Astyanax mexicanus: one gene and its partner. The protein of the gene in region 1 interacts with the protein of each later gene in a biochemical or structural test. Links are inferred from orthologs where the notes say so. Each region holds a gene or a part of one and is shown in the gene's direction. Other genes may lie near its edges. The genes, in order: WW domain-binding protein 11 and pqbp1.

Region 1 (8,766 bases):
AAATGTGGTGTAATGGTACAACTATAGTGTAAATGATGGAACTGTAGTGTAAACAGTGAAACTGTGGTGTAAATGGTATAACTGCAGTGTAAGTGGTGTAGTATATGAAGTGTAACTGTGGTATACATGGTGGAACTGTGGCATAAGTGGCAGAACTGCTGTGTAAGTGCTATAACTGTGTTGTAACTGTGGTGTAACTATAGTAAAACTGGAGGAATCGTAGTATAAGTGGTGTATCTGTGGTATAAGTGCTATTACTGTGGTGTAACTGGTGTAAGGGTGTGCGTGGTGTACCTGTGGTGTAAGTGTGAACATTGTGTATCTGTGATGTAAGTGGTGAAACTGGTGGAATCACAGTATAAGTGGTGTATCTGTGGTATAAGTGCTATGACTGTGGTGTAAGTGTGTACATGGTATATCTTTGGTGTAAGTACTATTACTGGGGCATAAGTGTGTAAGTGCCATTTCTGTGGTGTAAATGGTGCAACTGTAGTGAAACTGGTGGAATTATAGTATAAGGGGTGTATCCTTGGTGTAAGTACAATTAGTGTGGTGTACATGTGTAAGTGTTATTACTGTGGTGTAAGTGTGTGTGTGGCGTATCTGTGGTGTAAGTAGTGTAAGTGTGTAAATGATATTACTGCGGCATAAGTGTTATTACTGTGGTGTAAGTGTGTAAGTGTTATTACTGTGGTGTAAGTGTTATAAATGTGTTGTAAGTGTTATTAATGTGGTGAAAATGATATTACTGCGGCGTAAGTGTTATTACTGTGTGTAAGTGTTTTTATTGTGGTGTAAGTGTGTAAGTGCTATTACTGTGGTGTAAGTGTTTTTACTGTGGTGTAAGTGTGTAAGTGTTTTTACTGTGGTGTAAGTGTTTTTACTGTGGTGTAAGTGTGTACGTGTTATAACTGTGGTGTAAGTGTGTAAGTGTTATTACTGTGGCATAAGTGTTATTAATGTGGTGTAAGTGTTATTAATGTGGTGTAAGTGTTATTAATGTGGTGTAAGTGTGTGTTATTAATGTGGTGTAAGTGTTATTAATGTGGTGTAAGTGTGTACATGCTATTAATGTGGTGTAAGTGTGTACATGCTATTAATGTGGTGCAAGTGTGTACATGCTATTAATCTGGTGTAAGTGTGTTTATGCTATTAATGTGGTGTAAGTGTGTAAGTGTTATTAATGTGGTGCAAGTGTGTACATGCTATTAATCTGGTGCAAGTGTGTACATGCTATTACTGTGGTGTAAGTGTGCACATGCTATTAATGTGGTGCAAGTGTGTACATGCTATTAATGTGGTGTAAGTGATATTAATGTGGTGTAAGTGTGTACATGCTATTACTGTGGTGTAAGTGTGCACATGCTATTAATGTGGTGTAAGTGTGTACATGCTATTAATTAGGTGTAAGTGTGTACATGCTATTAATGTGGTGCAAGTGTGTACATGCTATTAATCTGGTGTAAGTGTGTTTATGCTATTAATGTGGTGTAAGTGTGTAAGTGTTATTAATGTGGTGCAAGTGTGTACATGCTATTAATCTGGTGTAAGTGTGTACATGCTATTACTGTGGTGTAAGTGTGCACATGCTATTAATGTGGTGCAAGTGTGTACATGCTATTAATGTGGTGTAAGTGATATTAATGTGGTGTAAGTGTGTACATGCTATTACTGTGGTGTAAGTGTGCACATGCTATTAATGTGGTGTAAGTGTGTACATGCTATTAATGTGGTGTAAGTGTGTACATGCTATTAATGTGGTGTAAGTGATATTAATGTGGTGTAAGTGTGTACATGCTATTACTGTGGTGTAAGTGTGCACATGCTATTAATGTGGTGTAAGTGTGTACATGCTATTAATGTGGTGTAAGTGTGTACATGCTATTAATGTGGTGTAAGTGATATTAATGTGGTGTAAGTGTGTACATGCTATTACTGTGGTGTAAGTGTGCACATGCTATTAATGTGGTGTAAGTGTGTACATGCTATTAATGTGGTGTAAGTGTGTACATGCTATTAATGTGGTGTAAGTGTGTACATGCTATTACTGTGGTGTAAGTGTGCACATGCTATTAATGTGGTGTAAGTGTGTACATGCTATTAATGTGGTGTAAGTGTGCACATGCTATTAATGTGGTGTAAGTGTGTACATGCTATTAATGTGGTGCAAGTGTGTACATGCTATTAATGTGGTGTAAGTGATATTAATGTGGTGTAAGTGTGTACATGCTATTACTGTGGTGTAAGTGTGTACATGCTATTAATGTGGTGCAAGTGTGTACATGCTATTAATGTGGTGTAAGTGATATTACTGTGGTGTAAGTGTGCACATGCTATTAATGTGGTGTAAGTGTGTACATGCTATTAATGTGGTGTAAGTGTGTACATGCTATTAATGTGGTGTAAGTGATATTAATGTGGTGTAAGTGATATTAATGTGGTGTAAGTGTGCACATGCTATTAATGCAGTATGTGTGGTGTAAGAGTTAACTGGTGGAACTTGATGGTATGTTGTACAGCACCAACATCTGCTCACTGAAATCATGACTGTGCACATGTCCTTACAATGATCTGTCAATCAATGTGTGTGTTATAGGTGTGTTTGTGAAGAGAGATCTGGCCTCTGTTGTGGTGCGGCAGAAACGAGCTGGAGCTGCAGACCTCACACAGGTCCAGTTGGAGAGGTACACACACACACACACTCACACAGACCACACACACACATGCCATACACTCGTTTACTCTCTCTCTCTCTCTCTCTCTCTCTCTCTCACTTCTCTCAGTCTGCGGGAGGTGTGTGAGCTGAACCTGGCCTGTGAGCACATGATGGACACAGAGGGAATCATCGCCGCCTACACCGCCTACTACGGACCAATCCCCTTCTAACCTGACTCCTCCTCAGCCAATCAGGGCCAGCCCGCTGCTTAGACACACCCAGAGTGTGCGAAGCATCTGGAAACGGATTAGTACTAGAGTAGATTATTAAACAAAGAGAGCCACTGAATTAATATTAATATTAGTGACATCATTGATATTAATATTAGTGCAGTGTAGTGATGGAGAGAGAAAAAGAAAAAGGAGAAGGCACAGGAGGAAGAGGAGCAGGAAGAAGAGGAAGAGGAGAAGAAAAAAAAGATGATAAGGCTGTGTTGATGTGTTAAATTGTACTGTAGCAAAAATAAAGCTGAAATAAACAAACCCCGTCCCTCTTATTTACAGATTCAGATTCAACTTTATTGTTACAACACATGTATAAATACAAGGCAGCAAAATGCAGTTTAGCATCTGACCAGAGGTGCAATATGGCAGCAGGTACAAAAAATATACATTTTCTACAGTTATTGGACCCTACACACTGTCAACAGTCAATTTTTAAGCCCCCACCATTAAAATAGAGTCAGAGGCTAGAAATATATTTACTGGAGGAGAGGTGAGTTCAGGTAAATATCTGCTGTGCTTCTATCTTGGTGGTGGGAAATACAGGTGCACCACTGACTAATTAAATCCCTGACAACAGTCAACACTCAGCTGCCCAATCCTATCTTAACCATGCAGGAGCACCATGAGCACGCTCAGCACGTGAACACCCCTGCTCGTTAAACACACACATGGACATGCTGCATCACAGAGCCAACTTTTACATAAACAATAAACAAAACAAAAGGATAAAATAAAATGGATGTTCCTGTAAATGAGCTGCTGGTGTACCTTCACAGTGTGAATGCGCAGGTTAGTATCCTCTGCTGAGATGCACAAAGCACTGCGCTGTTAATATATGAACATGCCAAAGTCAGAGCTCACCTGCCTCTTAAAGGTAATGACTACTGAAACACTGATTTTATGGTTTTAACTGTTTTTTTTTTCATGTTACACCCAAAACACACCCATGATTAATTAAGAGAATTAGTACATGCCTTTTGCACGTTTCAAGCCGCATAAGGCATATTTTTTGGGCCCTTACAATAGCAAAGACACAATCACATGCCCTGCATCCAGCTGCACAATACTCAATTGAATATATACAGTATATATATAATATGTATGAAATATTTACTGCTGCCTGTGGGACTGATGCTGCTTTTAAGTGCACCTCGGAAGCTCATTCTGACGATTTCAGACTAGTAAATGTGACGTAATTTCGAAGTAGTAACAAAATTAAAATGGAAAACTGAAACACAATAAAAACAAAATGCTTTTTTGTTTACTTTTGTGTTATATAATTGAAATATATTTACAGGTACTGCAAACAAAGCAAACTAACAAAGAGCAATGTAAAAGCATTAGGTAATCAACAATTTTGTCCAGTAATCAGTATTAGTAGCATGTACAGTACAACTGTTATGAGAATAAACAGTTAGAGTAAGCCGATTCCCCATAACACCACCTCAGCACCAGATGCTTCATCAGTCCATAGGCTACACTGTGTGTGCAATGTACCCACTATCATTAGCATTATTAGTAATTACATCAGATCATACCAGAGTTCTTCTGGTTATTGTTTTTAATCTTACAGGAATTAATGTTCCAATTGATTTCCTCTTTTAAATACAGAGTGGTGTATCAGTGTGGCATATAATTTTAAACTATTTGAAAGTATTATCAGCAGACTGGGGTGAAGTGTGTTGTAGGAGGTGCAGTTTGTGGTTGGGGTGAAGTGTGTGGTAGGGGGTGCAGTGTATGTTAGGATGTGCAGTATATGCTAGGGGTTCAGTGTATGGTATGAGGTGTAGTATTTGGTGGTGAGTTAAATGTGTGGTTGGGGTGAAGTATGTGGTAGAAGGTGCAGTTTGTCATAGGGGGCGCAGTGTGTGGTAGCGGGTGCAGTGTGTGGTAGGAGATGCAGTATGTGGTAGGAGGTGCAGTGTGTGATTGGGGGTGAAGTGTTTGGTATGACGTGCAGTTTGTGGTTGGGGATGAAGGGTGTGGTAGGAGGTGCAGTGTGTGGAAGGAGGTGAAGTGTGTGGTAGGGGGTGCAGTTTGTGGTAGGGGCCGGAAGGAGGTGCAGTGTGCTGTAGGGGTCGGTAAGGGGTGCAGTGTGTGGTAGGGGCCGGTAGGAGGCGCTGCGTCGCCCCGCTGTGTTTCCCTCCAGCTCAGAAGAAGACGGCGGGAAGTAAATATGGCGGCTCGCACACAGCGCGCTAATGCTAGCGCTAACGATTCATAAACACATCAAAAAGCGAATTAATCAACCCGGAGTTCATCAATACCCCGATCTATAATCCCGCACAGCGCCGCCGGAGCGGCCGCTTCTGCCCGGCGCGGAGGATCCGAGCTCCTGCACAGATTTACCAGACAGACCGAGCGGCTAGCGGGACAATAAAACAGTAACTGCCTTTATCATTGCTATTATTACTAATATTAAATTATTCACTGATATTTTAACTAATATAATATTATTTACTGATATTGTCAGGTATTTTAAAGGTTTTTGGAGTGATATAACCGTAAATTCGTTATTAGCTGCACGTAAATTCACAGTTAGCTTCCAATTCCTGGGTGCACCTTAAATCCTGCAGCAAGTGCTGCAGATTTTAAGGTGGAACGAAAAGTTAGCTAGAAAACAAAGCCAAATTCTCAGTTATTAGGGCACATTTTGGGACATATACAGGGTTAATGCTCTTTCGCTGACAGGGACAAGTTAACATTTATCAGTTCAGTCATCAGATTAACCAATTTTGGCACTCTGTAACAACAAAAGTGGAAAAAATCTAAAACGTAATTATTTAATAATTTTTTTTCCTCTAACTGAGATTCTGACTGTGAGAGGCAGAAATGCACAGCTTATAAAACTGTAAATACTAATGAAAACCATTTTGAGCTGACTTGTTGAAAATGTACTGATAAACATCACACATTACAGTGGTCTGAAAGGCAAACTTAAATAAACATTAATTATACATTCATGGGAAAACTATATGTCCTGACATAGTTTAACTTAATTCCTTTAGAAAAAGTCTGCCGTGTTTCATTTCCATAATTTACTGCAGAAAAAAGAACAGGGAGGTGTGTGGTGAGTGAAGGTGTGTTAAGGTGTGTTTGTGTTGTATTTTGCAGGTGAGCAGCCATGGGTCGCAGGTCCACCTCCTCCACCAAGAGTGGGAAGTTCATGAACCCCACAGATCAGGCCCGTAAGTTCTCCGCCCGTAACACACACACACACACACACACACACACACACACACACACACTCACACTCACATACACTCCTATACACTCCATCTGCCATGGAACCCACACTCTTACACATTGTACATCCTGTAACACACACTCTTACACATTGTACATCCTGTAACACACAATCTTACACATTGTCTATCCTGTAATAGACAACTCTCGCACTCTGTCCATTCTGTAATACACACTCTCACACTCCAACGTCCATCCTCCAACTCACCCTGTTATACACTGTCTGCCCAGAAACACACACACACACACTCACATACACTCCTATACACTCCATCTGCCATGGAACCCACACTCTTACACACTGTCCATCCTGTAACACACAATCTTACACATTGTCTATCCTGTAATAGACAACTCTCACACTCTGTCCATTCTGTAATGCACACTCTCACACTCCAACGTCCATCCTCCAACTCACCCTGTTATACACTGTCTGCCCAGAAACACACACACACACACACACACATTGTCCATCCTGAAACTCACACTCCATCCACCCTTGAACACACAATTTCACACTCCATCTTTCCTGGAACACACACTGATACACTTGTCCACCCTAGTCTTTTGCTTCCTCTCAGTGCTTCTCCCTCTCACATGATAGTAATGCTGCTGATACCTCAGACTAAAAATGCTTTTAAAACTAATGTTTGTGTGTGTTTAGGAAAGGAGGCCAGGAAGAGGGAGTTGAAGAAGGTAAACACAGCTTTTTCAGTACTGAGCATAAGGTGTTTATACGTTTTGTGTGCCACAGCAGATTTACTGTGTGTGTTTGTGTGTGTGTGATCTAGAACAAGAAGCAGAGGATGATGGTGAGAGCGGCGGTGCTGAAGATGAAGGACCCCCGCCAGATCATCAGAGATATGGAGAAACTGGATGAAATGGGTAAAAGCTGTGTGTGTGTGTGTGTGTTTAGTGTGAACTTTTGAACTAAATATTCATACTAAGTTCAGACTGCAGGCAGATCAGATTAGTTTCTGATATCAGATCTGTTAAGATGACTGTCAGCTCTTGTCCATTATTTGTAAGTGATGAGATTGAATTTGCATGTCTGGACATCACAAGCATATCTGCACTGGTTGCTGTGGTTTCCAGGTTAGAATCAGTAACTAGCCATTGGTGCTCTATTTGTATCCTCACACTTTCATTTTTAAATGTGATGAGGTTGTTGTTTGTCGTGTTGTGAAAGAGGTACAGGAACCTGAAATTAAATTTGAGAAGCATCTGTACATATACAGATTACCTTTTTATCAGATTTATTGTGGTGTCTGTCTGTCCAGACTATCAAAATCATTCTGAATACAAGGTTTGCCAAAAATCCGATTTGGGCTGGGACTCTTAACGTAGCCTTAGATTCTTGCTCATTAATGTGTGTGTTCTTCTCTTTCTCTCTGGTAGAGTTTAACCCGGTGCAGCAGCCTCTGCTGAACGATAAGGTTCTGAGAGATAAGAGGAAGAAGCTCCGCGAGACGTTTGAGAGGATTGTGCGACTTTATGAGCGAGAAAATCCAGATACTTATAAAGAACTTCGAAAACTGGAGCTGGATTATGAGACCAAACGCGGACAGCTCTCTCTCTACTTTGACTCTGTGAAGGTTTGTGTACTTGCACTCGCATATCTTAATGTCCGTGTGTGTCAACATGTGTGTGTTTGTGCATTTGGAGATGCAGGTCAGCGCTGTAGCGAAGCTTCTGTTATTCCCAGATAGATTATTTCCAGTTGATAGTGTCTGATGAGGTTCTGATTGTCCAGTGAGCCGATTCCGTCTGTCTCTTTGTGACAGTTTTTATGTGTTTTTCCTTCAGAATGCGGAGTCTGTGGAAGTGGACAGTATCCCGCTGCCGGAGATGCCCCATGCTCCATCCAGCGTTCTGATCCAGGACATTCCACTACCCGGTGCCCAGCCACCCTCCATTCTGAAAAAGAGCTCAGCCTTTAGGTAAATCACCTTAATCCTGATAAAATAATGCATATATATTTAAACAAATCAGTATAAATAATCGAGATCAAGTCATCCATTTTCGCTCGTTTTAGAGTACTGCAGAATGCTCTGTGGATTTTTTTGAGATTTTTTTTAACCGCCCAGAAGTGTCCTGAAGCTTTGTCAGCCTCCCATACTAAAAAATCTCTATGTCAAAATATATTTAGAAATACTAAGGATGTGTGAACAAATTGTTGCTGTCCAATGAAAAAAAAGTAACTCCAAATTATTTTGGAAGTCAATGTTAAAAAATTTTAGGTCATTTTTAAGTATTTCTATTGGTCCATTCATTAAGAAATGTTGGCCTAGTGTAAGGTACAGTTTGTCTGTTCAAATTATGTAGAAAACTAAAAATCGATAAAAATAGAGATACTATTTTTTCCCCGCTTATTTTATTTAGGTTTGGTTTGGTTTTGTGCATCAAAATGGGTCACAACAAACTACATGAGCAATTTCTCTCTAGAGTAGTAAATAAAGTAAATACAGGTAAAATATTCTGTTCTGAACTAGCTTATTGCAGTTTAGCATGGAGCAGCAGCAGAGAGCGCATTAGATAATAGTGTTAGTAAGAAATTACCTGTGTAATCAGGTTAAACCA
Region 2 (9,155 bases), on another chromosome or scaffold:
TTTTTACAACTGAAAATTAAGACTTTTAAGGGCATGTGAATATTATACCAGGCATGTTGGTACCCAATACATATTATGTGGGAATTTAGAGAAATTACACATAAGCGACAAAATATTTGGTTTTGTTTTTAAAACCAAATCTATCTCAAACAAATAATGTAAGCTCTGTCTGTAGTTGTTGAAATCTATAACCTGTGCACTGTTTAAGGTCACTAAAACAAAACCACTCACGATTCTGGAACTGCTGAGCTGTGTATCTGTTGAGTAAAATACCAAATCCTTCAATCAGGGCCAGTAGAATGCCCCCCATCATGGCAGAGCCGACCATTGCCAAAGGCCCACCTGCAAAGCACACAGGTACAGTAATCACAGGACTGCAGCGAGCTCACAATCTGCCATCAGACCTCAACACCTCAAATCACCTTAGAAAAGACTTTGGCTGATAGATTTTCTTACATTCTAGCACTGGAACTGCATGCAGGCACACACAGGTGCTTCGTGCACTGATCCATTTATTTTTTTTTTTACAAATTTGGCAGTATTACATTTAATTAAAAGATCTCATTCCATCATTTTTTCATTCATTTTAAAATGTGTAGTTGTGGTCTCTAGTATGAATCAATGGCATGTGAGCCGTTTTTTGTGAAACAAGTGTTCAGGTGTTTCTATTTAGCCCTGCTTTAGATCACTGAATTAACCCTACCCTCCTCCCCCACAAACCCCAAGAAAAAAAGTTTTGTGTCCATGACAAAGTTTTTGCCATGTCCCATGGAGAATAAAGAACGCTGCACAGGCCTACAGGATATGACTGTTGGATGTCATAACCTCTCACTGTGCTATTTTGTTTTTTAGGCAGAGCCGTATAAAGAGGTTCCCAGTATAATGCAGCCATGATGCAGTTATACACTCACTGCGTGCTGCCAGAATGGCTCCAGTCATGGCTCCGCTGGTGATGGAGTTCCAGGGGTCTTCTTTACCCCTCAGCCGCACCAGGCCACAGTCTATGGTAGAGAAGAGGCCTCCCCACACAGCAAAACTTCCTGCAAAATACACACACACACACATTAAATATCTCTTCACTTATTGGACCAACTTAACCAGCTTGGCTAATCTTCAATGTGTGAGTGTCTGACCACAGTAACTAAGAAACACAGCATATATATTTGCACATCTCTGACAGTATAGACTGGAGTGTGGACCATATATTTTTTTAATAGGATTTTATATTGTTTTTTATTATTTAGTATATTTTTATGTCAAATGAAGCTGTGATATTCAATGAAAACACCCCTTTAACCAGCCAAGAAAGTAGGAGGAGCTGCAGCATTTAGTTTCTGCCCTGATAAGTGTCGTTAGGAACCTGTTTTAGTCTCATATGCCAACAGAGAGTGAATGAATGAAGCAGCAAATATAATCATATCTGTAACACTGATACCTGACAGCACTTGTTTACTATTAGGAACCTGATCTTTTTTGGCTGAAGCACAAGCCCAGTAAAAATACTGATACTCTCAGGGAATCCAGGTCAGTCTGTGCTTGTCTCTCACTGTAACAGAAGGAGAACAAAGAGGCAGGAGAAGAATAGAGCAAGAATCAGGACAACAGAAAAACTTACCACCGATCTGCGGTGCTCTAATTCTCACAGCGTTCGCACTGCCTTTCAGCCGGTGTCGTACGCCCTGAGAGAGAGAGATTAATCAGAATCAAAAGAATTCACAATCAGCATGAAATCAGGTCATTATTTAGGCACTGAAACACCCACCACAGGCGCATTCCTGAAGCCTTTGATGGACTGAAACACCCCCCCACCGATGGCCCCCATCGTGAATGCACCTCCGCAGTCATCTACTATTCTCCAAGGACTGAGAGAGCAAATAAAGAGATAAAAAGACACATAACGAAAAAAAGATCATGAGGTATCACGAAACAGAGAAAGACAGGTAGATAAGACAGACAAACAGAGGAAGACAGATAGACAGATAGAGTGGGTATTATTATAGTGGGTCACCACCTTAGAGACCATACCTGACTGTTGTCTATAAATATTAGGGGTGGGAATCGATTACTATCTCACGATTCGATTCGATTCCGATTTTGGGGGCCACGATTCGATTCAAAATCGATTTTTGATTCAAAACGATTTGAATTATAAAAATTTCTGCTTCTGGCTTATGAATCTTATTGAAAAAAAAACCCCTCCATAATATACACTGGTCCTGGAGCAAGTAATGTGTTACAAAAACAATAAAATGTGCAGGAATGTGGGTCCTCAGTGACAGAGGAATCACTGGGATATCACAATGACGTTAATGAACAATAAATAAATAATAAATAACACTGCTTTATTACCAGGCTACTAGCGGTGGTGTGTAGGTGACGCTGCTGGGCTGATGTGATGATAGCAGTGGAGCGCTAAAGTTCAGGAGCAGCTGCTGATTAACTAGTTAATTTAAGGTCGTTGTATTTCTTCAGAAAGGGGGCAGGAGGTGGAGAAATTAATTCATATTGTCCATTCCTTAATTCCTCTGTGATGAGGAGCTGAAATTAGCTCTGATTAGCTTATTGTTATTTTTCCGTTCCGCCTTAAATGCTGCAGCCCGCAGCCACCTGTAGCGTTATTTAAGGTGGAACTGGAAAGTTAGCTTGTTAGCTAGCTAACAGTTACTGAAACTAACTACTAGCGATCTTTTTTATGCTTGTTATGAAGCATTCTGCCATAAAACATTAAAACTACACGTTAATCTAAAGTAATATAGTGCTTGTTCTGCCATCTTACCGGTGATTCTCAAACACCTACTACGCTCTGTGTGGGTCTGGAAGACCTCGGTTTGAAGGGACAAGCGGGTTGCCAGGTCCAACAAAAATACCCAGCCCAAAATCAGTCCAAAACCCGCCCCTCAGAATCGATTTTGGGACATTTTAAATCGATTCTGAATCGTAGTAAATGAGAATCAAGATTCTTATGTGAATCGATTTTTTGGCACACCTCTAATAAATATTAATAATTACTGTTGTTCTTTTTCTGTTAATTTTCTGACAAACATTGACAGAAACAGTTACAGTTAGGCAAGAAAAAAACGACTTTAAATGTTGAATCTTGGAAAGACAAAAAGAAAACAGAAAGAGAGAGAAAAAAGAGAGCCAGACAGAATGGGCAGAGCAGAGTGAGAAAAACAGATTATAGAGTAAGTGGTGGGTATAATCGTGAGAATGAGAGAGGGTATTACATAGAAATAGAGACAGAGTGGGTATTTTGAGAAAAAGAGAGAGAGAGAGAGAGAGAGAGAGAGAGACTGCAAAAGGGAGAAAGAGGGAGACACAGAAAAAGAGAGACTGAAAGAGAGAGAAAAAGAGGGATGCAGAGAGAGAGAGACTGAAAGAGAGGTAGGCTGAAAGAGAAAGGGAGAGAGACTGAAAGAAAGAGAGATAGACTAAAAGAAAGAGACAAAGACACTGAAAGAGAGAGAAAGGGAAGAAGACAATGAGACTAAAAGAGACTGAAAGAAGGATACAGACAGAGAGACTGAAAGGGAGAGAAAGAGAGAGACAGAGAGATTAAATTATGTATAATAAAAGAAACAGGGAAGCGGGTGGTATAGACAAACAGAGAAAGTAAAGGTCAGAAAGCGAGAAGTAAACAGATGCAGAGAAATAGTAAAACTGTAAAAACCGTGAGAAAAAAAGATGAGAAAAAAACTAATAAAATAAAGAGTGGTAAAGTAAGACGAGTAAGCATACATGGTGTCAGAAAACTGGGAAAATTATGGAGGACAAAGAGAAAACACCGGGAGAACTAAGACAAATTAAGAAATAACAAAACAGACAATATAATCTAAAATTCCCTGTATTTTTACTTTACTTTACTTTTACTTATTAAGGAATTTAAATGTGCGTTACTGTGGTAATTAAACGCTGTTACTGGCTAAGAGGTCCTCCTGCATGTGTAGTATCTGTGAGTATTTGTATATTCGTGTGTGTGTGTATAGCTCCACTGATGTAAGACTCGCAGCCCGACCCTGAGGAGGAGGAGGAGGAGGTGTTTATGCTGTTAGCCAGCCCCGCTAACCGAGCGCTGTACTGCACTCACACACACACACAAACACACACATACACTCACTGCAGGAACTACAGGAAACAGAGCCGACACACAGTCACACACAGGCGGGGGAAATGCTCCTCTGAGCGGAGTCAGAGCGGCTCTGTTTACCGGTGGTTTAGTTAAAGAGAGAAGCTGTCTCAGAAGTTGTACTTTACCAGGGTTCACGGGCATACTCCTCCATGATCAGCCGCTGACCTCGGCGCCGTGACGCAGCCGCCCGCCGGGGTTTCAGCGCCACCTGATGGACAGGATTAGCAATGATTTTCCACCCCAGAGAGAAGAGAGTCTGCATTTCTAGTACAAAAAATATAAGGCACACATGCCAACTTTGTACATTAAATGTATATAAACTAAATTAAAAAATATTTAAAATGTCAGTATTTGTACCTACACCAGGTATTTCTCATTTTTTAATTAAGAAAATAAACACACAATACAAAGTTATTGTACAGTTACACTTAGTATACATTATGTCAATGCACAAATGTTTTCTGTAGAGAAATAAATACACTGACCATTGGTGGCCAAATGAGTGCTAGAGAAAGACAACGTAAAATAATTAGAATGGGTATGGAGAGAGAAACAGAGACAGATAGACAAAGTGGGTATCATGAGATAGAGGGAGTAAGGAGCTGATCACTCACTGAGGGAAAACCAGTGTGGACAAAAACACAAAATTATTATAACTAATTTACCGAAATCACTGATTTATTCCTTATTATTACGTATTTATAGTCTTTTCACCCTTATTTTCCTTTTCTTGTCAATTATAATTAATAATAATAATGCTTACGCCTGTAAATAGCTCCAGTTGTTGTAATTGTATACATGTATGTAATTATTATTATTATTATTATTATTATTTTGCTTTTATGTGTTTTCTGTCATATGCTTTGGCAATAGTGTTTCTTTTTACATTTATGCTAATAAATCACTATTAAACTGAACTGGACTAAGTGGGAGGGAGAGAGAGAGAGAAAGAGAGAGATAGACAGACATACAGAGTGGGTATCATGAGAAAGATAGAAAGATACTTTTAACTGCACTTTATTAGTACAATGGCTAAAACACTTACAAATCCAAATGTTATATATATTCACAAATTCTCAGGTAAATCTCACAAAAAAGTAACAACTCCTCATTAGTAACACATAAAACGCTATTCAACATCCACTCTCACAATCAATTAAATGCCTGGAGGTTGTGTTTTCTGTAGAGAATAAAAACACCAACCTGTGGTGCCCAAATTGCCACAAAGTATAAGATGACGTAAAACAGGTTCGTTTATTCAAGTCATTTTGCAGCATTTGCATTGGTCCAAGTACCAGGTACAAAATTACGTCAAGAAAGAGAAATGGTTAAAATAATTCTGAATCTTCATTCTTGTCGTTTTTTTTATTATTTAAAATAAAGTACTTTTATTACATTTTGCTTGCGGTTGGAGGATCGCTACAAGTAATCCCGTGCTGTGATTGGCTGTCTCAACAGAAACGCCAAGGACTGTTAATTTCATTGGACCATATCAAACTCCTTGTTTGACTGGAGCGGACACTCGATAAGCTGTATAATTTTATTATAATTAATTTAACGTAATTTATTTATTTCATTTATTCTATATGCTTGTCCATAGCTCTCTATAACAAGCAAAAACACTTAAATCCCACTGGGACCACAAGGGGGAGGAGCGTGACGTCATTTTTCTGCGCCGACTGAAGCTGGTAGCTGCTGTGAATGAAAAGTTAGCAGCGCGCGGCTGTTATTAAGGTAAATAAACCAGCGGTTCTCTCAATTTATCAATGTGGATTATTTACAGATGCTGCAGACTGTATTGCCTGCTGTGACACTGGTTTGCATGGATATCTAGCTGAAATACAGCAGATAATGGTTTAAATAGGAGTCTGAGTACGCTGGGGTAACGTGCTATGCTATTTAGCTAAGCTAGCGTTAAGTCTGAGGGCTGAATGAAAGTGCTGGGTAACTAGTTTTGCTGTAACTCGTGTTTTGTTTTTACTCTGCAAACAGCACCTTAATGATCATCAATAATACAACCAAATGTTACAGCTGTCCTAAGAAGTAGAAATAAATTAAGAGTGCCACAGACCACAACACTGGTTTAGTTGCTAAGAGTCAGGACCAAACATAGTGCTGGACGATATGGCAAAAAAAATATTACGATATAATTCTTAATTTCGGTCAATACGATATTTTTTTATTTACTTAATTTTTTTAACCAGGAGGTCCCTTGAGATAAAAATCTATTTTTCAAGGGAGATCTGGCCAGGACGGCACACCATTTCCAATTACAGATAGGGCTGCAAATAATGAATATTTTGGTAGTTGACTAATCTGATGATTATTTTTTCGACTAGTCGATTACTCAATGATTATTTCTGCCAGATCCCCCATCTCTAAAACGATAGAACATGAGAATTATAAAGCAATTTAAATGCCTAGAAGTTGTTTAAACGTGTAAACTACTGATATGTAGTGATTAAATATGTAACCTGTTGTGTTTGAGCACTTTTGGAGACACATACTAAATTGAGTGTAAACTGTATGAGTGAGCCATTTACCATCTCCCATTGTGTTTCTGTCACCACTTTGTGTAATGCGGTACTGTTACAAATTAACGATTAGTCAAAAATGAAATTTGTAGTCGACACATTTAAATAATCGACACTGTCGAAGCACTAGTTACAGAACATTACAACATTTATTTACATTTAGAATAAACACAAAACCAACATGAAAGCACAAAACAGGCATGTCAGAGTAGCCATTGCATGTTTCCATCACAGACATTTTTTTACTTATCACAGAATTCATCACAGAAAGGATTTAAGCTCACTCAAGAAAACCAACTCTGTGATTTGTTTTTAATGTTATTCCAAGACCATGGTGCAAAATAAACGAAAACTTTTTTTGCCCAGTTCTAAATTAATACCAATATCTTTATGAACAGTGTAAAAGCCAGCCTTGGTGTATGTAATCACATACTAATAGATCTGTATAACATGGCAAAATATTATATCACAGTATTTAAAGATAATCATTTGATTAACTGTATGCATTGTGTTTTAACTGTTCAAATACTTTTTTATGTAGAATACTGTGATTTCTATAAATTCTAAAATGAAATAGAATTTTTTTACACTCTGTCAATAAATGTACATTTGGGTCAGTGCTTTTTAAGCAATGATGATATAGTTGATTGAAGGAAGGAAATTAATCCTTATCAGTATGAAAAAATATCAATATATTTTTCAGCTCTAATCAAACAAAATAAATGTAAGTTAAAAATATTTATGCTTAGTCCAATTCTGCTACTAAAGCAGCATCTAAACACTACAACATGCTGGACAGTGGTACACCAGAACCAGGGTTGAGAACTACTGCTTTAAGACACATCTTTATTTTTTAGAGAGTGGTGCTGTATCGTCTATTCTGATTTTAGGGTTTGGTCTGTAGTTTAAATTGACTAGATCTGGGTGGATGTGTTCACCCCATTTGTAAATGCAGTTGTTGGCATGTAAGTCAACTAATGTTTTTTTTTTTATCTGGTTGCTTTATGTTCTTGTCTAAAATACAAAGTTATTGTTTTTTGATTGGTGTAATGAGCAGGCATAAGAAAGCCAAGCTTTCATTACTTGTAAAAAGCTATAAAACATATTGCAAACAGGTTGTGCCCACACATCCGCACCCATCAGCAATTGTTTTTTTATGTTTTCACATCTTCAGGATATACAGTCATATGTATAATAACGAGCATCTTTGTGCGATTTCCTCATCTCTCTAGAGTGTCTTACTAAAATCTAGATAAATTTACCAACAATTAACAATTTCATGTTATTAATATGCAAAATATCTCTCCATTTTTCTTCTCCCCAGATGCCTCTGCCACCAGCTCTTCTGGCTCGTCTGGCCAAGAGAGGAATCCTAAAGCAGTCAGAACATGGTAAGATGTCAGCTTACAGTACATAGTCAGCTGTACTTCTTAATGTAGTCAATATACAATGTATGTTTTGCTTATGACTGATTGGATATGTTGTTGTTCTTAAGACAATGAAGAGGAAATCATTGCTGAAGACTATGACGACAACAATGTAGACTATGAAGCTACAAGGGTTGAAAATTTACCCACCAACTGGTACAAAGTACTGGACCCTACCTGGTAAGTGCTTCCTGTATTGCACTATGTTTTAATCTCGTTGCAATGCTAGAACCCTTGTGTACTACATTACATAAAAAATAACACAAAAAACATTCATTCAAATTATCTGGATTGCATCTTCTTAGTTCCATATATTGACTTCATATATGTGTTTTATGTGACACCTCATTTAAATCTTTTGCCAGAGTTTTAAATGGGCTAGATTGGACAATAACAACAGATTATGTAATGAAACTTGCTGTGATTGGATTAGTGTGTTATTCATGTATACACCATAATGAGCCTGATGATATAACAGAAATATGGAAGAATAAAATAAAATTATTTTCCCCCCTATATCATTGCTTTATAAATATTTAATGACACAAACGTCCCTTGTGTTTGTTTTCAGTGGTCTCCCATACTACTGGAACGTAGAGACAGACTTGGTGTCCTGGTTGTCTCCCAATGACCCTGCTGCGCTCATCACTAAAGCAGCCAAGAAGCAGAGAGGTAAAGAGCTGATGAGTGAAATCACTCTAGAACTTTTAATTTCTCTCTACACGCTATAAAATAATGGTGCTTCAAAAGGTTCTTTGCGCGATGCCACAGAGGAATCACATTTGGTTCCACAAAGGCCGTGTTTGTAAAAGTGCTATTAGTGTGAATAATGGTTTAAAATAGGGATGCAGAAAATATGCTCAGCAACCAAAATGATTCAGATGAAAATGGCAACAAAAAGCACTTTTCGTGTTTAACTGCATACAGAAAAAAATAAATTGAACAATAGCTAATTTATTTTAATGCTTTGTTATGTTAATGTTAAGTGGTGGAATGTTAATTTTTAATATTAATTTATTTGAGTGCATGCCTTGTTTAAAATCTTGAAGAACCTGACCTTTATTT

Evidence for each region.
Region 2: the proteins of WW domain-binding protein 11 (region 1) and pqbp1 form a complex in vitro, tested with the Homo sapiens proteins (2 studies listed by BioGRID and IntAct, with this or other methods). The link is inferred for Astyanax mexicanus from reciprocal best matches to the Homo sapiens genes WBP11 and PQBP1.

What each region holds. Positions count from the first base shown.
Region 1 is NC_064410.1:8,167,217-8,175,982, reverse strand, and holds the start of WW domain-binding protein 11, read left to right. Parts: upstream 1-5,069; 5' UTR 5,070-5,324; intron 5,325-6,054; 5' UTR 6,055-6,064; coding exon 6,065-6,128; intron 6,129-6,850; coding exon 6,851-6,882; intron 6,883-6,977; coding exon 6,978-7,071; intron 7,072-7,584; coding exon 7,585-7,781; intron 7,782-7,992; coding exon 7,993-8,126; intron 8,127-8,766. Other genes in the region: bglap (osteocalcin), read left to right, coding at 2,597-2,684, 2,784-2,886. UniProt on the Homo sapiens protein: Activates pre-mRNA splicing. May inhibit PP1 phosphatase activity.
Region 2 is NC_064419.1:20,725,042-20,734,196, reverse strand, and holds the start of pqbp1 (polyglutamine-binding protein 1), read left to right. Parts: upstream 1-5,711; 5' UTR 5,712-5,863; intron 5,864-7,987; coding exon 7,988-8,054; intron 8,055-8,158; coding exon 8,159-8,270; intron 8,271-8,661; coding exon 8,662-8,762; intron 8,763-9,155. Other genes in the region: timm17b (mitochondrial import inner membrane translocase subunit Tim17-B), read right to left, coding at 232-342, 912-1,040, 1,616-1,679, 1,763-1,862, 4,255-4,280. UniProt on the Homo sapiens protein: Intrinsically disordered protein that acts as a scaffold, and which is involved in different processes, such as pre-mRNA splicing, transcription regulation, innate immunity and neuron development.